Linked DNA regions of Arabidopsis thaliana. The protein of the gene in region 3 interacts with the protein of the main gene of each other region in a pairwise test. Each region holds a gene or a part of one and is shown on either strand. Other genes may lie near its edges.

Region 1 (7,553 bases), on a different chromosome or scaffold from region 3:
TTTTTAAAATTTTCAATGAATATCCAAAATGTTCCAACTGCAAAATTTACTAAAAGTATTATTGCGAGGCAAATAGTAATCAACTTCATAGCAAAAATTATGCACTATCGTTTTTGTTTTTTTTCAATCTGCACTATTTATGATTCACGCAATATATATAGTCCATTGGCAGCCAAAACTAAAAAGAAGGAACTTGAAAAGAAAAAAAAAAGAACAGAAGATAAAGACAATTTTCACTATCTAGGATACTCTCATATGGGTATCGATAGATCAGAACCTAACACAGGATTCACCGCTAAGGCAAATAGTAACATAGGAAGAACTAAACAAGACCACTTAGACCAAATGCCATTCCCTTATGTCTCTCATTATCAAAACCAAAAATTTCTGGCATCTACTATAACCTTCAAGCTCTTATTCCAGCAAATGTATGTTAAACAAAAAAATTTGAAGTTTTACCAAAATCCAATTCTTCACCTTTTAATCCTCTGGCTCATTCTTCCTCCCACCTTCATTTCCTTCCCTCTCTTCCAAAAGCCGACCAGTCTCTTCATCAACTTGCTGAGCAGTCTTCTGAGCTTCTTTAGCCTTCAATGCTTGTAGCTTCGCGTGATTATAATACGCAACTCCCAAGAAAGCAATCCCATAACCAAAAAGATTAATAGGAGTCACTGTGTCCTTAATGACCGACCACGAAAAGGCGATCAAGAGCCAGTCCTTAACCACACCAGCAACATTCATGGTCAAAGCAGAGGTTTTCCCAACCAAAAGAAACACAGCAAGATTCAGAGCAAATGCACAGAACGAATTCGTCCCGAAAATGAGGTAATCGAAATGGAAGCTAGAGGTATCTCTCAAGATCGGAAACTCCACGACAATCCAAGGGATAAACAAGAAAGCTAAGCAGCAAGGAGCAACGTAATAAAGAGAAGTGATAGGATTCAAAGTGATTCCTTTAGAAGTAAGCAAGATCTGAATCATTACCAAACGAGTCGCCTCGAAAGCAACAGCACCAAGCTGGAGAATCACACCCCAAACATCGAATCTAGCTTCGCCATAAGCAGCAATGGCTACACCAAATGAGATCGAAAGCATGTTCATCATCGTCTCAGATTTGAAACCCTCTTTCTTGAAGAGCACGCCAATTGAATAAACGGCGACTGGCATTAACGCTTTGAGCATCTGAATGAAGGAGACCGAGAGGTAAATGTAGGCTGAGTTAGAGAGCCAAAGAGAGAGTGAATACAAGGCTCCGATCGGGACGACGGATCTGAGATAAGTGTCACGTGACATTGAGACCGGTTCGACAAATTTGAAGACCTTGATGAGAAGAAAAGCTAGGGTTGAGCAAAAGGACATGTGGATCATTGTGAGTGAGATCGGGAATGGCCAATCGTACATCTTCTTGTCGAGGATATATTTGTTGTAGACGATGACGGTGAAGCTTAGGAAGATCCATATTGCTACGTATGTGTAGGAGATGATTATGTTCTTAATCACGCCTTCGCTTAGTGATCCACCTTTACCCATATTCGTGATGTTTTTGCCTCTCTTACGACGGTGGTTCTGCGGCGGAGACGGTGGTGTATTCTCCGAAGTTTGTGAATTTTGGTGAGATCCTGAAAAAACGTTTTCAGAGTTTACTAAAAGAGAGAGACTCACACGTAACGGAAGTGATTCACCAATTTATAATTGTTTTCGGTTATAAATAAAATAAAATAAAAAGAATAATAGCGAAATTAATTAAATTTTAAAACGACCAAACCAGTCAAATTCTGAACTAACAAAATGTAATTTAACTCTAAACCAGCCAATATAACTAGTTAAAACTTTATACCTGGTGTTTGTGTCCGTTTTAAGATTTTAAATCATTTTTGAGAAACAATGTTTACATAAATGATATAGTGCGGTTGAATACTAATATTTTTATTCGATATAACATGAATATTTAATTAGTTACATATTTATGTATTTTTAAAACTTATTAGACCTCTCATATAAAATATCTAGAAGACATATATAACAGTATTTATATTTTAAGTATCCAAAAAACAAAAATATTGCCGGTAATCTATATATAATCGTCTCAGTCAAAATAGAATAAAAATAATAAAATAACCCTACCGCATCAAAATATCCAAAATATCAAAATTCGTCAACTTAACCTATTAAATATTTATGTCAAAATAGATGCTCTCCTTATATCTAAACAAGATGTTTAAACATCGACACAAAATATCCAAAATCCAAAGTGTGTCCATGATATGATATCATATATAAACTTGAGATGCTATCTAGACTTGGAAGAGGTTCACTTGATAAAATGTTTCAACTTGAGCTAGTTGATTAATTTTAGCCCGCTTAGATTTATTTACTTGAATCTCTTTTGTTATGTAAGATAATTTACTTAAACTTGTATGTGAAACTAAGTCAAAATCGCCTTTATCACATGCCTAAGTAAAAAATAATCAAATAAAATTGAATATCAAAAATCAGTATTTTAAAATAAAATTCTATAAGAATTGCTCATAAAGTTTATCATGATCGGGACAAGACGGAATAGGACAGGACATGAACTTTACCCAAACCAGGTAAACATGTTAAAATAGTAAAACCTTTCTTAATCTAGGTAGGACTAACATTCGAATCACAAGAATCTGATTCGCAGATGTGTTTAACAAAAGTGGCAAATCTCTTTCACATTTAATGTTCATTATTCTTTATTAAACTAATTAATTATCATCCTACCACTTGTACCTTCATAAGTATCATAATGACTACTATACTAATCTCCTGTAATTATATCATGTCCACAAATTCAATAGAAAATATCAACTACTCTTTAAACAGTAGGCCATATCAGTTTACAAGTCTTAGAATCACAACACATATACTATATTTGAGGAAAAATGTTTACGTATATATACGTACTCATTTCTAGAGCTATCATATATTCATATATATGTTCGAAAATTATATTAATTATTAGCTACACGTAAATTACTTACCCTCGATTATTATTAACCCTCAACTATATTATTATCTTGATCATATAATTCAATGATTCTCCTTTAGACCTGTGCAATGGATCCAGATCCAGGACAGGTCCAGTTAAGCAACTCCTCGATCATCTGCATCGCCATTTGATCATCTTCCTGAACGTCTTCGTTTCGTACCTTCATCTTATTAGTCTCAATATCACCACCGGGACGTGCGTTAACTTTGTCACCTAGTTCAACAAGCTTGACCCAGTTTGGACTCGTTTTTGACCCGGCGCGTTTCTGCCAGACGCCGATGTGTGAGCTGTCGTTGTCGAGGCGGAGACACGTCAGATACGGTGTCTGGTCTTTACAGTTCTTCCTTAGCTTAGCGTTCAATAGTTCCGATAATGATTTGGGAGACCTTAACGCAGAGTTAATCTCCAAGGAATTTGAACCGTTCGATTTGATGACGGGGAAGTTAGTCTTCGCGCTCTGGCCGTTCATTAGAACCGCGGCTTGGTCGTAGGCTCTAGCCGCTGTTTCCGCCGTGTCGAATGTTCCTAGCCACACTCTTCTCTTCCTGATAGCTCACATAAGTTACGTAAGCAAAAAACACACATTTTATTCAAACTTCAAAGTACTAAAACAAACACACAACAAATTTGTTATAAATTGTTACTGATAATAAATTGGGTCGTTTTCTTTTTGAGGAAAGTTTATAGTGAGTAGTGTTCGTTCCTTCCCAATTCTTTGCTATATGATTTTCTATAATCCAACTAAGACATAGAAAATACATCAGTATCAATTATATGACAAAGCATTTAAATTTATGTACACTCAAAATTTCAAAATACAACACAAAAAGTACAAATACTCAACATATGTATATGTTAATAAACGTGGGTTTTTTAATTGGAAAAAAATAAGGAAAACGACTTAAACAAAAATGCATGATATTATAAGAGCTTTGCATGAATCTTCGAAAATATAATCAATGATCAGAAAACTGCCCTACACGTACACCAAAAATGTAAACTTAACTCATAGCATGGACTTGCATAAACAGATTTATACTGTTGTCTCTATTAATAGATAGAGAGGGAGAGAGAACTGACAAGAGAGGATGACGAATCTCAGAAACCCAAGAACCCCACTGACGCTGGCGGACACCTCGGAACTTCTTCGAATGTACCATTCTTCTGTTTTAAATTAGGGTTCTTAATTTCTCTGTGTGTTTCTGACACGAACTAAGAATAGGAGAGAAAGTGAGAGTGGGAGAGAGATTCCTCGTCTCTGATCTTTCTATCTCCAACTACTCACTTAACTCTCTGCTTTTCCCACGTCCTCTCTACTGATATTTATTGTATGTCCCCTATCTCTTCCGTGTCATGGGGTTATTGGATTATATATAGCGTTAGGAAAACTACATGACAAGATAGTCCAAGTACAAATACTAGTTTTGCTACATATAACTAATCCTTTTCCATTTGATCATACTTGTCATTCTACAATGTTAATAATTACCCTACAACGTACAAATACTTGATGTCAGTTCATACCATGCATACAATGGTACCAAGTGATCATATTTCTTATTGCCTATCAATTCGTCTCTTTTCTTCATTAATTATGTGAATATTTGATAAGAAGAAATGTTATTGTTTAAAAATAGATCACGTTTTACTGTTTTAAGTGTTTATCGCTAATGCAAACTATCGAATGGACACTGACCCACAACCAATTACGAAGCCTAGTGGATTTTGGTAACCAAATGCATAAAATCGTACTAAGGTAACTATAATGATGTCCCATGTGTATTCAATTATTCATATACAGTTAAACCTCTATAAATTAATACTCGATAAATTAATAACCTCTATAAATTAATAAATTCTTCCAGTCCCGAGTTGGGATCAGTGTAAAAAGTGACACAAATCGATAAATTAATAAGATAATAACTTTTTAAAAAATCTTATGTAAATATATGGTCCCATCAATATCATAAATTAATAATTTTATAAATATATCAACTATATATACATTATATGTAAGAAATTATTTTGAAATATAATTCTAATATTTTTTTGCTTAAAATTTGTATTTATTCTTATTTAAATTTAGTTATAGTATTTTACTTTATCAAAAACTTTTGGTGTTGTTTTCTAAACATGATATTATTATTTACTTGTAATTGATTTTTGAAAGATATTTTCTATAATGAAAAAAATTTTATAGAAATTTTTGAAAAGTTACTAAATTACGAAAATCTCTCTATAAATTAATAAATATTAATTTATCGATAAATTAAAATCTTTCTAAATTAATAAAATTTTGCAGTCCCAACATTATTAATTTATAGAGGTTTTACTGTAGATGTCTTTCTATTTATAAACCTGTATTAACTCATACTGATTTTTTGTAAAGATTACACTTAATTAGAAGACTGATCACATCCCACACCTCTTGCCGTCGAATTTATTCCGAGTTACATAGCAATTCAAATTAAATGCTATCAAATTTTACTAACAGATAACTTAAACAGTGACGTGAAAACGTCGTCAAAACATATTTCATTCATCTATTTAATTTTCATTGTTTGATTTCTTATAGATCTATTAATTCGACACAAAACAGAGACCTCGATTTCATCTTTTTCGATCATCTACGTTTATGTTACTACCGGTTAAAATTTCTGAGAATAATTAAAATTATAGAAGTGTTTTTACTGATCAATTAATGAAAAGGCTAGAGAATTGTCGGTGCGTCGCGTGGTAAAGTCCACGGATATTTGGAGTAGTTGTTGTCCATTAAATGTTATGAACCTAAAGGAGACAAGAACGAGTTAAACCTTAAGCTTGAATAAATGAATTCACCAACATCTGCTAAACGTACAAAATTAAATTTATAAGTTGAAATGTATATAAGGATGTGACAGCCACATGAATATATAATGGCTCTGATGAATGCAAATGGTACAAGACGATGCAGGATAGGTGCGGTGGTAATCCTTTTGTTTTTCAATATTTAGATGTTTAACAAAGATCAGTTTTTAATTAATGTGTGGTTGACAAAAAAACAAAGATCAGTTTTGAGTCATTTAAAGTTTCTATAACAATTCTAAATTTCATTATATTTTTTAGAGCTAAAATAATTCAATAAACGTTTAATTATATGAATAATAATAAAATATTGGTCTAGAAATTGGTAATTCTCACAAATAGCACATAAATAATTCAAGAATAATTATATGAATTATAATAATAAAAAATTGGTCTAGAAATATGCAATTCTCATAAATAGCATGAAAGTAAGTTTGTTACTAAATTTAACACACAATCTCTAAAACTCTAAAAAAACACAAATTCATAGTAAAAAACTAATATAAAGTTATTAACATTCGATTGACGTTTCACACGATTGTTTGTAAATTAATCGTGATTTCAAATTGTAATTAATTTTGTTAATTTATATAATTATAAAATAGTTACTGAGTAAATTCACTAAAGCTAATTTTACAAATTTGTGGACAATGTTATTTTAATTGTCCATTAAACTTGTTTGAGTGCTATTTTAGGATATTTCTCTATGATATATCGCTCCGTTTATTTACGACAAATATACGTATAATTCATCTTTAGTATGATATTGTGAAAGAAATAATTACTTGTTAATGGAAAGCCAAGTTTTCAACAAATTTTGTCTTTATAGATCTTTGTTTAAATGGGTATCAACTAGGCTTTTCACTCAAGACAGGAAAAGGTTGGCATAAGAGAGAAAACCCAGTTTGTATTGTTTTAGAGAATCTGGTATTGCTTAGGTCGAGTTTCTTGAACAAGAAACAAAAGGTTTTTCATATTTGTTTATTGTGAAGTTTATTTGGGCCCAATGGAATGTAATTACCACTGGAACATCACTTGGTAACCAAAACTAAATAAATATACAATGGCGCATGAACACTTGCTTTTATTAATGAGTCTACAAAAATCTATAACATTTTTTTACTGTGAAGGACAAATCTCAATGAGTCAAAATTGTGTTTTGGTTGATACAATTTTCCATGAGATGGCACTTCTTTGGAAGCACCTGACACTAACAACAGTTACAGGTAAAAGATAGACAGACAACTTACAAGGAAAACTATTCCATAACTGTAGAGACCAAAACTGATGTCTGAAACTAGGATTGATGATCACCTGATACAAACTGCTGAAGCCAGAGAGTTGTGCTGACTTGGTCATATCAGGAGAATCAGAAAATCTGCGGTTTCATCTTGAGAAGAGTGTGTTCACACGTTCAGGAGATGTTAATGTTGCCACTCTTTTAAACTGTCAAATATTCATATAGAGTGAGAGAGACCAAATTCAGATTCAGTGTCCACTTTCTTAGATTGAATTTATTATTATACCTTTTGTTGGTTGTATTTGGTGTGTATAGCGATAAGAGTGCTTCCACTGGTGTTGAGCTGCAACTCCTCCATTGCAAGTACCGTGTTTTTTAGAGCGGATGTTTCATATCTTGTATAGTGTTGTAGAGTTTGGTTCTGTAAGCAATAACATTCACATCACCAAAAAT
Region 2 (7,205 bases), 2.3 Mb from region 3:
TTTTATGTTTTATATTATTTAAAAAATTCATTTTAAGAAGTGATTTACTACAATTGATTCAAAAAAAAATCTTCTAACAGATTTCCCAAAAAGTTTTAGATATTTTGTTGTATTTTTAGGAAAAGAAACCAAAATTTATGATATTAAAATACCACATGTTATATTATATGATCCAATAAACGCATATTAAGATCAGATCAAAACTTTAAAATACAAGCTATACGAGAAGTCGCACATGGTTTTAATCTGTCAAGTAGTTTGACCGATTAATATATTTGATACTAGTACATAGAAGAATTCGAGACATGTGTGTGTAATGTACATATATTACTAAATTAACATCAACAAAAATGTGTATCATATATCTGAACAATTTTTTAAAAAATTGTATATGTTTTCGAGTATCAAGAATGTAATTTCACGTTTCGTTGTAATACACTATTCGTATCACTATCACCTACTGGCATACACTACTTTACATAATTCGTTCAGCACCAATAGCTTATATAATTATTTTTTAAATTCTTGCATAAATCAAAAGAATTTTGCTCTCCTAAAGAGCACAATTAGTGATTTTAATTAAATGATTACTTTGGTTTTGTTAGTTTCAGCTTCATGGAAACAGCCAAGAACCGCCTATCTACAAAAAACATGGGCTGCGGTATAGAGATAGAGACAAGAGGAATTGCAATATTAACTCACTGAGTTTTTACTTTTCTTTGAATGCTAACATATTGGGTTCGCTGTGTGAAAATTGAATTTTATCTGAAAATCTTTCAACTGCATAAACAGTAAAAGGATAAGAAAAGTTAAAAAAAAAAAATGTCCCAAGGGTTGCGTAATTGCGTTTCGTTCCTCCTTTCACCGGTCCATTTTGTCAACATCATGTTTCATTGTGTTTTGTTGATTTTTTTTGGTCATATGGTCCTATGAGTGACGTAATACATGAGGTGGACACATATTATTATATACACATGAAATATAGAGTTTGATTGAGAACTTTCTTGTCTATTATCTAAAATCTTTCGTAAAGTTAACGATCACAATGACCACAAACTTCAACGTACGTAAGTTTGTGTTTGTATTTTGAAAATCGATGTTTGGATCTTTTGAAACGTTTTGTTCAGTAATTTGGAAGTTTAGGGTAGAAATGGTCACTTATTATATGTAGCTAAATACGATTTCAACACATACAAACTACAAAGATTTGTTTTCGTGTTCCACAGTGTAACACGTCAGGCTGACTTGGATAATTTTAACTAACTTTACCAAGGTTAATATAAAACATAATCACTAATTGCAACATAAATAGACCATTTTAATTTCAGGTTGCAATTAGAGATTATGGTATACACAGCCACACAAAATCAAGAAAAATATGGCAACAGAAAATCGTCTCGTTTCAACCCTTTAAGTAGTTTCATCCATCCATATGGTGCCATTTTAAGTACACATGCAAGTCACCATTTTTCCTCATATTTTTTTGGCAAGTCTCATTGCTCGCCTCTCGTTGTAGCTTACAAAAATGACCATTCAATATGGTTATAAACCATCTTCATGCGACTGGCAAAAAAAAAAAAAAAAAAAAACCATCTTCATGCATGTCAGTTTTTTGTTGCTAGAAAGTTCGCCGTACATATTTGTCTCTCATGTAAAGGTGAAAATGGCTGTAACATGGATTAAACTATTAAAGATTCATTTTATGAAATATAATTTCCATTCATTTTGCTAGGAAATAATGAGGAAAGAACAAATTAAAAGAAATTTGTGTTCATCACAAAACGATAGCAATGTTTACGGAATGGAACCTAAAAGTAAACTACAGTTAGAAAGTGAAAGAAAATAAGATAATCAAAATGATATACAGTAACTTGGTCTTAGGAGTCTAAAGAGTAAAATCTATCTGATAATTAAGACAACATGAAAAAGATGGGCTATAGAAACGTTTTGAAATCAAGTTTAGTGGGGGCAGAGACAAAGTAGAACCAACTCATCAAGAACTCAATTTTAAACATCTAAATGGATCTCCATGCAACATTATTACACTAATAAATAATATGAAAAGTTTGGATTTGGTACCGGTCTGTTTCACTATCATTGTTACAATTATTGTATTCCTCGGCAGGAGCACCTTAGTTTATTAGAACAATTAGACCCCATTGACGAACCAATATGGTGTAGAAGTATCTGGAAAGAAAAAAGGAACGTCCCACATTTCAAACAAATCTTGCTAACCACGTATTATCTAGCTGGAGGAATGAGAATGACACATTGTCCTTGCTCTAGATGTAAATCCACATAACATAAGTAGGATCGGTTCTATTAAAACATTAATTGGAAAGCATTTCAAACTCGGGATAGTAAGTGTGGTGGAGACATGACGTATTGGTGACAAAAAAAATTATAGAGAGAAGAAACAAGCTTCAAACCCTCCCCAAGACAACAAAACCATCATTGTGGGGAGCATTAAGAGTATGCAACGCAAAGAGGCCTTTCATTCCCTTGCTCTCTCCACTTCTAAGAATTTATTGGTTTCTTGTTATACTAATAAATTAATGGAACCCTAAAAACAAGGTTATGAGATTTATCAGTAAACCTACGCTTCTGTCACTAATTCGGTCCAAGTACATTGCTAGAACTCTGTGACTTATCTTACAATGCTATTTCAGAATAATTTCAGACTAGATCTTAATTGGTTCCGTATGTATTACTGATTTCCAAATCATTAATTATTAATGGGCCTATCTAAGCCTGTTTAATAAATGGGCCTTGCGTCAAAGTCTCCATCACTGAAACCGCCCTTTTTAGGTTAATCAATACTTTATAACCGAAACTGATATTTTTTCTAGGGTTTCCTCTTCCGCATTCGTCGTCTTCAGCTCCTCCTACACAGTTTCTTCTCTGAATCGTAAGTTTTGAATTAATCTGCAAATTCGTTTAGATTCTTATCAATTAGTCACTAATTTTTCAATTGATGATTCGATCTCAGTACTTAGGAAGCTAAAATGGGTAGATGTCCGACTAGAAAAGTGAAGAAGAGGAGATTATCTCACAAAACAGCTCGCCGTGACAAATTCGAAGTCAAAGGCGATGACTTGGTTTACACAGAGTTGCGTAAACCGGAGACGGAGATTAAGCCGTTACAGCTTGACGAGGATTTGCCTGGAATGGGTCAATTCTACTGCTTACACTGCGAGTAAGAGAGATTCTATGATTACTCTATTGACGATTCTTTTGGTTTATGAAACTTTTTTTTAGCAAATACATTATCTTTGAATTACTCTATATGACCCATTTGTTTGTTTTACCTTGATATGTTTTAGTCGATACTTCTCCAACGTATCAGTGAGGGATGATCATTTCAAGACTAAGAAACACAAGAAGCGGTATGTGGATTCTTCTCCTTCCTTGGCCTTGGTTTCTATTTTGTTTTGTGTTCTTGGAACTGTGTTTGGTTCTTGTGCTCGTTTACTTTCTTGCTTGCAATGTTAAAGCTATTTCTCTTCACTTCTGTGTACCTAAAGATGTTTTAGCATTTGTAATTTGATTACCTTTGTATGATTATACATGTCTGTTGCAGTGTTGCTCTGTACTCAAGACTTATTATATGTGTTTTGTCCACTTGGATTGCAGTGTGAATATGATGATGGGACAAGCGCCACACTCGCAACTCGATGCAGATTTAGCCGGGGGAATGGGGATGCCGGACAATGGCCCAAAGCTGATGTCTAATTTGGTATTCACAGAGTTGCGTAAACCAGAGACGGAGGATTTACCTGGAATGGGTCAATTCAACTGCTTACTCTGCCAGTAAGATTATATGTGCAAAAAGACAATCTTTGAATTACTCTAGATTTCCATGTTTGTGTGAACATTTGTTTGTATTTGATTGACCTTGTCTCTCTACCTTGATATTTTTCAGTCGGAACTTCTCCAATGCATCAGTGATGGATTATCATTTCAAGACTAAGAAACACAAAAAGCGGTATGTGGATTCTTCTTCCTTGGTCTTGGTTTCTATCTTGTTTTGATCTTGGAACTGTGTTTGGTTCTTGTGCTCGTCTACTTTGAATTCATCTTGCTGGCAATGTTAAAGCTATTTCTCGTCACTGGCGTAGCTAAAAATGTTTTAGCACTTGTAACTTGATTACCTCTGTATGATTATATTATTGATCTATGCATGTCTGTTGCTCTGTACTCAGACTTAATATCTTTCTATTGTCCATTTGGATTTTTGTGTGATTGCAGTGTGAAGAAGATAGAGCGACCAGCGCCACACTCGCAACTCGATGCAGATTTAGCTGGTGGAATGGGAATGCCAGACAATGGTCCAAAGCTGATGTCTGCCTGAGTTTTTACAGTTATTTTCCTTATTTAGTTAATGGAACCCGAAATTTTGTTGTAAAACTATAATCTCCTAAATTAATGATACAGGTTTTTTGTCTGTTGCCAAGTATCTATCATGCAGTTACTGGTTTAGCTTCACTTAGAAGTTTAAATCTGATAAATCATATATTGTTTGTGTTGGTTGCATAAAAAACTTAACCATATAAGCCATACCAATCGTTGTTTTGACAAAATAGAAAGAACAAAACACTAGCTCTCTCAGCTGCTGATATGCGTTTGTAATTGAGATCACATTATGCAGACCTTGTTCTCTTCCGGGGAACTATTGCCTTTCCACGAGCAATCACGCCAAAGTGAAGCCTAGAAGCAGAAGAATCCCATAAGAGTCCTATATCGTCTCTTTCTTTCAAACTTCTCCTTTTGGATAAAATCTTCCAGCCAGTCACCCGTTAGAACATAGGTATATTGTACTGCCAGACGCAGCTCATGCATTGTGCTCGTGTCGTTGTCCTATACCTTAACAATGAGTCCGCTTTTGCAAATCAGCTTCAGGCAGATGTCCTCGAATCTGCTGTTCGAAGAAGCTTCTGGGCAGACGAAGTTGGCCATAAGTAGGGTTAACATTATGCTCGGTCAGTCTCTTCTTGATGGTCCATTGAGGTGCGTTGTTGACAAGTCTAGGGATAGGCATCATCGTAATCTCTATTCCATCTCTTGCTACCTTCAATATGGATTCAATGCTCCCAAAACAACGAAGAGAAATGTTACTTGGGTCTCCCAAAGTGTCAGAATTGTTTGTGCCATGTTCTTCACCTGAAACGGTAAAAGAACATAACATCGACTCTGTTGATAAAAAGGCACAACCACAAGAACCTCCTCCGAAATGGAAAGGATTTAGCAGGTTTTCAGTGTTCATGGTGATGTCATTACTTTCGAAGTAGTTTTGGTTTTTCGAGAATGGACCATGTCGACTGTTAAAGGCTTCTTTGTCTCTGTTCATCGGAGAAACAGAGGAGCAAGACGTTTCAAACGGTTCTTGGCTCATAATTTGCTTCTCTGTTACCTTGGATGACAAGAAAGACAAATCTTGAGGGCGCTCTCGTGGTTCTTGACTCGTACGAGCTCGATTCTTTTCCGATGGAGATGTACAATCGTCTGAGAATGACATTCTCGTTTCGCGATTTCTTCTTCGTCTAAGAGAGTTATCGTTATAACGATTTCACAGAGATACTGTATGAGGGACTAATGAGACCGCAAGTGATGATATATATATATATATATATATATATATATATATATATATATATATATATATATATATTATTCGCAAAGGCTAATCCAAAATGTTGGCAAGGATTCAAATAAAAGAGTGATAACATTTTGAGAAAACCCCGCCGCTAAGGCATCCACCAAGAAATTCTAAATTAAGTGTTACACAGACAAGAGACACTCAAAGTGATCGGGAAAAGTATGCAGGCCCTCTAGTGTTTTGTTTCCAAGCCCATAACGGAGCCTAAATTCATCATCCGCAACACCTTGATAAATGACTCTTCTAACGCTGTTCCTCTTTGGATTAGGAATAGGCGTAATAGACTTGAATATCAAACGGATCGAGGTGCAAATCTCATCTTGATCTATACCATTTCTCTGCTTGCGCATGTTTTATCTTCAGAGCTTTTCTTATGTCCCACTCCCAGTATCCATCTGTTGCATATCTTTTCATTATTTTTAATTTGCATTTTCACGGTGTTCACAAAAATATAATCTAATCTTACAAAAAAAATCTTGCGTTGATTTGTAAAAGTTATAAATGTAGTTCAAGTTCCAGTATCCATGCTACTTTACATAAAAAAAAAATAAGAGTAAAAAAACCTTGGTGACATTGTTAAACTTTTATTAATAGAAAGTGGGGAATTCCAGTACTGTAGCTTAAATTATTGGCCTTCTATGAATTTCTCAATTAGTGAACGACATGTGCCGAGAGGAGCTAGTGCTTCTTCTTCTCCACCACTATAATTTCCAAGTTTGTTCATAATTAAACACAAATTTATTTGCATTCAACAGCTAAAACAAAGTAGTCATCATCATCATGGTGTGTGTCCCATATGCATATATGTGTGTGTGGTCGCACGCGTGTGTTGCACAAAGAAACGAAGTCAAGAATTGTTTTGTTCATAAAAAGTTATATAAACACAAAAGAAATGTTGTCTTTTCTTTCTTTTTTTCATTATTGTTTTAGCTTTGGGTCTCATCATCTCATTCAATGTCCTTTTTGGACCCATCTTCTTTTTCTCATCTTCTGTTTTCTCATCTTCATAATTTTGTTCCCCACGTATGTTCGTGTGTCTATACATCTAAAGCATTCTTTTTGACAATATTGTCATAGTTAATTATTTATATGCTTACATTACTAATCATGATCTAGTATAAAAGCATGATGTACACACAATAGATTTTAAAATAGACCCACAACATTCGAGACCCATCACCCATCTAACCAATACAATTAAAAACCTTAAAAGATTACATTTTCATCATATACCATAATATTTCTTTTAGAACGGATCTCATGATTGAAAAGTTAGGCTTATCCTGAAATCTAGAACAAGACCAAACCAATATATATGGTAACAAGTGCCTCGATGATTATGAGATACATACCTCTCATCATCACCTTCTTCACTTCACTAGAAAGGCAGAGGCTCATAGATTGATATGGCATATAAATGGATATTACAGAGGTGAAAAATTAGATTAATTATGATAATACACAATAATAATACTATACCATCAAATCTGAAACGTAGTTCCAAAAATAAGTAACCCCAAAATCAAAACAGAAAGAAAAAAAGAGAAAA
Region 3 (9,608 bases):
ACCAATTGTGATATAGCGCGAGCTTGAATTTTATTTTTATTTTTATGTCAAAAAGAGTGTTGTATTCTCATTTTAATTCGAATCGTGTCCTGATGTTTTGTTTAATCAAATTGAGACCCATCCAAATGTATGTTGTCAAAAAGAGTTGGACTGGCTTCTCTAATAGTATCTTTGGTCATAGAGTACTAGAACACAAATTTGTCACCATAAATCTTTCAAACATATATATCTTTTTCATTATAGTATTGCTCTATACAATCTATGTACATACATGTACAAACCAAAGAGTAATGTTTTTCTTGACTCTTGATCTTCCATCTCAATGCTTTCTAGTTTCTTTTTCAGCCTACATTTGAACACAAATAATGAAGTTAAACTCCCAGAATATATGTATTGGATTATATATACATAACTATATTAAAGATCAACAAGAGAAATCATATACCGCTTTGATTGCTTTCTCAACAGAATCCCATCCAAACCGGTCAACGTAGTCTTGAACCGATTTTCTAGCATCAAGACTCATCATCTGTAAAACTCTTCTTTGTTCGTCTGTATAATTCGTTCCTCCTCCAACATTCATCCCAATTTTGACGTATTGTCTAACAAAATTGGAGTAAATGTAAGCTGCACCACTGAACATTGGTAGCACCAACCACATACAGAACAAAAGCTTCAAGTATGGCCAAAATGGTAGCCTACAATATGCAAAAGAACACCATTTTTTTGTCTTTATAGGCATAAATTTTTGAATTCGTAACAGAATTTAGTGAATAATATTGTAATTACCAGGCAAGGACTCTCCAAACGGATAGCTCGAATATCGTTATTAAAGAGTAAATGATCCAATATGTAAGCCATTGTTGATCATCTAACATTGTTGGACTCTCTATTGCTCGAAATGATGCATACCTAATCATTTATTCAGTTAACTATCAAGTTGCATTTGTAAAAACCAAACATTTAAATTCAGATTTGATATCACTTACAGAGGATAGAGAAGCATGACTCCAGGCCTGCATGCAACAAGAAAAAGGAAGAAAATAATGTTAAAAATTTGACAAATATAGTGTTTATTTTTATTATATGAGACAGAATTTGAATAAAATCCTACCCAACTAGAGCATCAAAACGTTTTGCAATCGCAATAATGAAACCCATTTTCTTTTTGAGTTTTTACTCTTCTTTCAACAGAAACTTTCTCAAACGTCTTTAGCACTGTGACGTTGGATATATACACAAAAGCTTGAAATTTCTTCAAGCAAAAGAATCTTTGTGGGAGTTAAGGCAACAAGCCAGGTAAAGAATCTCCAACGCATTGTTACGTTTTCATGAACCTATTTATTATATGTTCTAAGAAGAAAAAAAATATCTCAAAGTAAACGTTGGAAAATTTCTGATGAAGGGAAATCCAAAGTCTTGGGTTTAGTATCCCTATGAATGGTATTTGGAATATGTTTTCGTCAAAACAAAAGATTCTTTTCTTTTTCACAAGAGTTAGTGATCAATAACTTATGCACTAATTAATGAGATTGGACGTATACACAATTTGATTATGATACTTGAGTAAAAATCACCTGTCCTTTAATTTGGAAATCTCTCTTTCTTACCCATTTATATACTACTTCTTTTCATTAAAATTAAATTTCAATTATCAATCATCGTTCAATTTGATAAAGATTTAACATTTTTTGTCACAGGGCTAGTAAAAGCAATCTTTACATAATTCATCTTTCTTACATATATATATTACCTTTTTCTTCATTAGTATTCTATTTGATTATGATTATTTTGTCATAAAGCTAGTAAATTAAACACTCGATATGAGAATTATATTACTTCACGCTAATTAACTCTTAACACAACAAGAACTAGTGCATATTCAACTTTCAAAGCATATACTATATATTGAGAATATAGACCACGAAAGTCAATCAAAAGACCTACCAGCTCTCATCAAGTTCTTTCTTGAAATGATTTTGCAGAATTTCCAACTTAATTAATTCGACATGAATGTGAAAATGTGTGTTGCTCGTTAAGAAAATTGAATAGAAGTACAATGAAAATGATGAGGAATGGGCAAAACACAAAAGAGTTTCCTTTCGTAACTACAATTAATTAATGCAAATCTGAGAAAGGGTTCATGGATAATGACTACACACATGATTAGTCATTCCCCGTGGGCTCTCTGCTTTCATTTACTTTATTAGTTTCATCTTCTCTAATTATATTGTCGCATATATGATGTAGTTCTTTTGTCTAAATTACGTAATATGATGTAATTAATTATCAAAATAAATATTCAAATTGCCGTTGGACTAACCTAATGTCCAAGATTAAGACTTGAACATAAGAATTTTGGAAAAACTAAACCAGTTATAATATATACTCTTAAATTGCCATTTCTGAACACAACCAAATAATAATATATACTATTTACAGTTTTTTTTAATTGGCAAGAACACTGAAATCTTATTCATTGTCTCGCTTGGTAGTTGACAAGTTATAACACTCATATTCATATAACCCCATTCTAACGTTGACGACGAACACTCATATAAACCACCCAAATTCTTAGCATATTAGCTAAATATTGGTTTAATTGGAAATATTTTTTTTATATATAAAATGCCAGGTAAATATTAACGACATGCAATGTATATAGGAGTAGGGCAATAAAAAGAAAAGGAGAATAAAAAGGGATTACCAAAAAAGGAAAGTTTCCAAAAGGTGATTCTGATGAGAAACAGAGCCCATACCTCTCTTTTTTCCTCTAAACATGAAAGAAAAATTGGATGGTCCTCCTTCAATGCTCTCTCCCCACCCAATCCAAACCCAACTGTCTTCTTTCTTTCTTTTTTCTTCTTTCTAATTTGATATTTTCTACCACTTAATTCCAATCAATTTCAAATTTCAATCTAAATGTATGCATATAGAATTTAATTAAAAGAATTAGGTGTGTGATATTTGAGAAAATGTTAGAAGTAATGGTCCATGTTCTTTCTTTCTTTTTCCTTCTATAACACTTCAGTTTGAAAAAAAACTACCAAACCTTCTGTTTTCTGCAAATGGGTTTTTAAATACTTCCAAAGAAATATTCCTCTAAAAGAAATTATAAACCAAAACAGAAACCAAAAACAAAAAATAAAGTTGAAGCAGCAGTTAAGTGGTACTGAGATAATAAGAATAGTATCTTTAGGCCAATGAACAAATTAACTCTCTCATAATTCATCTTCCCATCCTCACTTCTCTTTCTTTCTGATCATAATTAATCTTGCTAAGCCAGGTATGGTTATTGATGATTTACACTTTTTTTTAAAAGTTTCTTCCTTTTCTCCAATCAAATTATTAGGGTTCTTCAGTTAATCCTTATAAACCATTTCTTTTAATCCAAGGTGTTTGAGTGCAAAAGGATTTGATCTATTTCTCTTGTGTTTATACTTCAGCTAGGGCTTATAGAAATGGAGGGTGGTGCGAGTAATGAAGTAGCAGAGAGCAGCAAGAAGATAGGGAGAGGGAAGATAGAGATAAAGAGGATAGAGAACACTACGAATCGTCAAGTCACTTTCTGCAAACGACGCAATGGTTTACTCAAGAAAGCTTATGAGCTCTCTGTCTTGTGTGACGCTGAGGTTGCTCTTGTCATCTTCTCCACTCGAGGCCGTCTCTACGAGTACGCCAACAACAGGTACACATCTTTTAGCTAGATCTTGATTTTCTTGAATTTTTTTTCTAGAATAAAGTTTCGACTCTTCTGGTGGGTTTTTCAATCTTTATGGTCTCTTTATAGTTTTTTTCCTTAGTTTCTCTGAAGCTCAAATCTCTTTAAAAATCCCCAAAATTAGGGTTTGTTTAAAACTAGGGAACCCTACTTTAACTTCTTTCTCTTAGTAAAAAAGCAGTGAGGGTCTTCTCTGATCATTAATTAGCATCCCCCATACCTTGTTCCAGTCACTTTTTCTCCACAAATCCTTATAACAGTATCTATATATGTATCTATTTATGTCAGTTTGTACAAGACACTTCGATCAATTTGATGACCCATCAAGTTTTATTTCTGCAGATTGATCATTAGGTTTCCATCATAGTAATGAAAAAGTAGGGTTCTTGATAAAATTATAATAATATATATTATTTGGCTATATAAAAAAGCTATGTAGATTCCTTCAAAATTGATTCACTAGGGAGAGACTAGTAGGTGTTTGTCTTCTGACACTTCTCTAATCTTTTGGTGAATCCTTTTGTTAAATCAAGAAAATGAATCAGGGACAAAGCTTATTGTTGAGTCACTTAATTAATCATCCGATCCATCAATCAAGAAAAATAACGAAACAGAAAATTTTGATTTTTGATTGTTATTTTCTCCACTTCAAGTTGGGGACTTGTCATTTCCGTTTTTCTATACGTTTCCAGCTATTAACAGCTCATGTTCATTTCACCATTTTGATTATTTGTCTGCTTTTTAAAGATAAATGTTTTCAAAAATATTGTTTTTATTTGCTTGGCTAGTTAATACTATAATTGAGGTTGATGTATGACTATAATCTATAAGTCAAGTCTCATATCATGGATCTAAGTTAAAACTAGTAAATTTGTAGTTTCAATGTGAACTTTCACAACGACTAAAGAACTGATCTGAAGTTTATAATGGACATGACTAATTTGATTAACAAAAGAGGAATGCATTATGTATGTAGAAACATGTGATATATATATGTTTCTATTATCAAAAGTGTAGTTAACTTTCTTATTTCAAACACCCTCATGCTTTAGTAGTATCTTACTTTTGACATTTCTCAACTTCAGCTTTCCATTATACAACAGCACAATGTAAATTACTTGTATATGAATATGAAAGCATAACGTTATGCAAAGATTTCTAGCTTTTCTTTTTCTGTTTTGCAAAAGATTTACAAATATCATGTTCTTGGTAAAAACATACTTGCCTCAGCCACATATGCATGTAAATGTAATGTTCAAATATTAATTCAGGAAAAACAAATGAAGAAGCAAAATTAGCTTCTAGAGTAGGGAATCTATTGACTTGACCTGAAAATCACTTCTTTTTCTTAAAGCCTAGTAGTGAATTTTTTAATCTAATTAGGCCAAAATATATACTAGCCTAAAATATAATTTGGATTTTGTGTCGTACATAAATTGGGACCAATTCCAATTAACTAAGAGCATATGCAATTCAAATTCTTTTTATTTTCTTCTCCGATTTGCTACTTCTTTCTTTTGTATGTTTTCAAATTAGGATTACACTTTTTTGGGGAAGTACACATTAGGGTCTTCTCGAACTTTGATTATACATATATATATATATATATAACTTTGTGAGATGTCACTGTTAATAGATAATAGGCAATAACAATAATATCCCAAAAAAAGAAGGGCAAACAAATCATATACTATATGGTACTGGTCCATTCACTATTTTGTCGGTTGAATTTAAGGTTTTGGGCGGACAAAACTTTATTTTCAAAACCTTAATATCCGTCTTTCTGTGTGTTTTGTATATCCAGAAGATAAAAATATCAATTTCTTTAACGACTTCATATATATATATTTTTTTCTCTTCTGGTTTTAGTGTTTGAATCCAACAGTTATAGTTTCGTGTGTCTTTGTTTTACTTGTGGTGGTTTAAGTTTGAGATTTTCACCGATTGCATCTATTTACATATATAGCTACCACAAAAAAGATTGCATTTTAAAATCTTTTCCTTTGTGTGAATGTTGATGAAGTGTGAGAGGAACAATAGAAAGGTACAAGAAAGCTTGCTCCGACGCCGTTAACCCTCCGACCATCACCGAAGCTAATACTCAGGTTAGCTTTTAATTAATACACCTAGCTAGCTAGTTCGTTAATTACTTAATTTCTTCTTCTTTTAGTTATCTGACCTTTTTTTCACCTCTTGTAACAATGATGGGATCGAAATTGATGAAGTACTATCAGCAAGAGGCGTCTAAACTCCGGAGACAGATTCGGGACATTCAGAATTTGAACAGACACATTCTTGGTGAATCTCTTGGTTCCTTGAACTTTAAGGAACTCAAGAACCTTGAAAGTAGGCTTGAGAAAGGAATCAGTCGTGTCCGATCCAAGAAGGTACAATCACTAACTCTCCATCAATCTCCTTATCATTGAATATATATCCATCTGATTCTTGCCCGTTATATTTGGTTTTTCTCTCCAGCACGAGATGTTAGTTGCAGAGATTGAATACATGCAAAAAAGGGTAAAAGTAAAACCTATCTTCCTTCACAAGTAACTTACCCCCTACTTTATTAGCAACTTCTCTTTCTGATGATCATCTTTTTTTATTTTCTGTTGTCGCTTGCATTGTAGGAAATCGAGCTGCAAAACGATAACATGTATCTCCGCTCCAAGGTTTTATACATAACTCTTTTTGGCATTTTTGATCATCATTTTTTTCCGGTAGACAATCTCTTGATGTGCAAATTCTAAATATCTCTGCAGATTACTGAAAGAACAGGTCTACAGCAACAAGAATCGAGTGTGATACATCAAGGGACAGTTTACGAGTCGGGTGTTACTTCTTCTCACCAGTCGGGGCAGTATAACCGGAATTATATTGCGGTTAACCTTCTTGAACCGAATCAGAATTCCTCCAACCAAGACCAACCACCTCTGCAACTTGTTTGATTCAGTCTAACATAAGCTTCTTTCCTCAGCCTGAGATCGATCTTATGCATATATATATTCATGTTACACTTACTGTCAAAAAACTTAAAATGCAGATGGTAACGATTTGAGAGGGACCTAATAATTTACATATATCTTGATTATGTAAGTTAAGGCTAAGACAAGAGATCCAAAAATAAAATGGGATTTATTGCTAGTTAGTGTTGCATATTCAAATCAAAATGTGTTGATGTGACGTAAAAAAAGCATATGCAATTTCAACAAGACTATTGAGATGCAGTTTGAGATGCAAAAGCTGCATATGCATAGATAGATCCCAAGTTACATCTAATTAAGATCTTTCTAAATTCTAAATCATGGACATGGAAGATATAAGCGATATATATAGGCCAAACCTTTTTCCCCCTTTTGTTTTCAAACTGCAGAGGATATAGTCTCTTTATCCTTCTAAATCAGCTCAGGATTTTTCACTTTCTAAGGTAATGCATAAATTTACAAGAAAGAGATCGTAGATGGTACCTCAGGTTTACTAAGACAAGGCAACTGAAATGAAAACCCTTGTGAATTTGAGAGTCTTGCTAAAGTTCAGTGGATCAGGATCTTAGTCCCAGCGTCATGTCATAGAGGGACAAGAAGATGTGTAAGATCTTCAACAGCAATAAATCCTGCTTGTAGAAGTTCCTGTATTAACACTCTGCAGTATATGAGACTGTATCAAGAAGGAAGCTTGATGTGAGAAATTGATAGTCTCTACATCCACAGCTTTACCAGTACCTAAAACTATGAAAGGACATCATGCTGCATCATAAGATGGAACTATTAGTAGAACTTTGTGTCATAATGTTTTTGGATTTTAGAACCCTTGACCTTTAATCATTCTCATTCTGCGTCGAAAACCTGCAACAACAGAAATGGCAGAAGATATTTGAAAACAAATGGAGCTAAGAGATGTACCATTTTCTAATGAATTCAACGAGACTTTTCTTCCTCAATTCCATTGTCAGCAGCTCCTCCCAAGCTTTCTGCAAGACTTAATACATTCATGCATTTCTCACCATGATTTATAGTATAACGGCCAAAACCTGTCATAGTGTCTTGACCTAACTTTTACTGCAAGAGAGCAACCAAACAAGCTACATATCCTATCAGTTTGATTTAGTGAAAACTCTCATAGCTAAATTTTGTTTACTGCTACATGTGTTCTGGCATCTGTCTTAATCTGAGGTGACTGTCTCCAAAAAATAAGTTTAGTTTCCTTAACATAGAATGTGATTAGGTGAAAACAGAACACTTTCAATTCAAAATGATAAGAAACCACTTAGTGAGCTATGTTCCGAAAATTCCACATGCTGATGAACAAATCAAGCCTAGAATATTCAATCGATGCATCCAACTTAGCAAGGAAAAAAAGTTGAAATTCTTGAAGAAAAATAACTGCAGAGCTAGAACTTGAGAAAATCTACTTAATGCTATCATCACAAACCAAATAAATCATCATCCTCTGTTCACACATTGATCATGACAAGCATATATCACAATTTCAAAAAGTTTACTCGTTCAAATTACTTCAAAGTTTCATTACTTCTGAAAAAGCTCTCCATGGCTAAAACAGATTCAGTGGATCAAAGTTTGATTACTTCTGGATTAGTATTATTTTTCGTATGGATTTTGTTGACATTATTAAAAAGTTAGAATCAGTCATAAGATCATAAAGTAGGAAAAAATAACAGCCTTGGGTGAAGATAAACTTGGATAGAGATATTTCTCAACCTCCAAAGATGTCGTGTTTCCATAACCATGACACACCAACTTAATATCATGAATGCAATTCCAGACACCAATAGAGAGAGTCATTAAAGATATTTTCATTGGTGGGTAGAACTTGGGGTTTGAAACTTGAATGCATGGAGACCATCTTGCAATATTTACTCCACAGAGTTTATTACACTAACACCACACTTTTGATATGTACTCCTTCCTTCTTTAATGCTATAATGTTTGCTCCTTCTCTCTCTTTCTCCTGCCCTTGTCGTTTTTGGAGTTTAATCCAGTTGTTTTCACTTTATAGACACACCTCTTAGGCATGATTTTAAAAATGCTCATGAACAATTTAATGCAACAGTTATGACAATGTGTTGGTCTGTGAGCATGTTAATCTAGATTTGGACTTTGACTTCTCTGTACCTTGGTCTATACATTAAATTATCTGTTATCTCTTTCAATATTGATGTTTTATGATCCTATCTATAGTTTCTTGTTCGGGTTAAACTTGCATATGATTCATTTCTTTGGACATTCTTGAACAGTGATTGAGAAACAGAGGAACTACTAAATCTTATTTAAGATCAAGAAATTTTTTGAAACAACAACATTAAATAAAAGGAAGTATCCATCATAAATATTACTAGAGACTATAGGACACTTCAAATTCTACTGAGCAACACAAATGACAAGATAATTAATTAAGATTGTTTTTGATATAAACCAACAAACAAACTGAGAAATGAAACTCTCTTAACTTCAGACTCTAGGCTTTAGACGACCTTCATTAGCAAGCTTGAAGGTATGGGCCTGCTTTGTGGCTGCCTTGTTTGAGGAAAGTCCTGCAACAAAGTGGTCTCTAACTTGAGGGGTTGTGAAAGGGAACTTATGGTTGACCATGGAGTTTAACCAAGAAGCTGTGCCTTCACGGTAGAGAGCACCAATGGGATCAGAGCGGGTGTTGGAAAGTGCCTGAAGAAGGTTCATGTGAGGATCAAACCCTGGAATGCTACTGGGAATACTGACTGTACCAAAAGCTCCTCCAACAGTTCCCCACCATCCAAGCAAGCCCCATATCAATGTAGGGTGGTTTCTCCAGTAACTACACAAAAGATAAACAAAACACATGAAGTGTGATAATTGATATCATCATCTGTCTTATGATGTTTGTATAAGAGCGA

What was found. Proteins that work in one complex are often made in the same cells at the same time.
Region 1: the proteins of SHP2 (region 3) and SHN3 interact in a two-hybrid assay, tested with the Arabidopsis thaliana proteins (one large-scale study listed by BioGRID).
Region 2: the proteins of SHP2 (region 3) and AT2G36930 interact in a two-hybrid assay, tested with the Arabidopsis thaliana proteins (one large-scale study listed by BioGRID).

Annotation. Positions count from the first base shown.
Region 1 is NC_003076.8:8,817,260-8,824,812, reverse strand, and holds SHN3 (Integrase-type DNA-binding superfamily protein), read right to left. Parts: upstream 4,356-7,553; 5' UTR 4,177-4,355; coding exon 4,097-4,176; intron 3,562-4,096; coding exon 3,072-3,561; 3' UTR 2,751-3,071; downstream 1-2,750. Other genes in the region: AT5G25400 (Nucleotide-sugar transporter family protein), read right to left, coding at 481-1,530; CYCA2;1 (cyclin a2;1), read right to left, coding at 7,247-7,306, 7,387-7,521.
Region 2 is NC_003071.7:15,507,148-15,514,352, reverse strand, and holds AT2G36930 (zinc finger (C2H2 type) family protein), read left to right. Parts: upstream 1-2,745; 5' UTR 2,746-2,908; intron 2,909-2,989; 5' UTR 2,990-3,005; coding exon 3,006-3,196; intron 3,197-3,323; coding exon 3,324-3,386; intron 3,387-3,633; coding exon 3,634-3,810; intron 3,811-3,922; coding exon 3,923-3,985; intron 3,986-4,248; coding exon 4,249-4,351; 3' UTR 4,352-4,455; downstream 4,456-7,205. Other genes in the region: AT2G36920 (B3 domain protein), read right to left, coding at 4,865-5,515.
Region 3 is NC_003071.7:17,817,141-17,826,748, forward strand, and holds SHP2 (K-box region and MADS-box transcription factor family protein), read left to right. Parts: upstream 1-3,114; 5' UTR 3,115-3,286; intron 3,287-3,446; 5' UTR 3,447-3,461; coding exon 3,462-3,688; intron 3,689-5,117; exon of another isoform or gene 5,118-5,744; coding exon 5,745-5,826; exon of another isoform or gene 5,827-5,946; coding exon 5,947-6,108; exon of another isoform or gene 6,109-6,196; coding exon 6,197-6,244; exon of another isoform or gene 6,245-6,348; coding exon 6,349-6,390; exon of another isoform or gene 6,391-6,480; coding exon 6,481-6,666; 3' UTR 6,667-6,873; downstream 6,874-9,608. Other genes in the region: HVA22F (HVA22-like protein F), read right to left, coding at 320-346, 446-698, 790-912, 990-1,016, 1,115-1,161; PDF1 (protodermal factor 1), read right to left, coding at 9,187-9,529. UniProt on the Arabidopsis thaliana protein: Probable transcription factor. Interacts genetically with TT16/AGL32 in a partially antagonistic manner during flower development. Is essential for the coordination of cell divisions in ovule, seed coat development and endosperm formation.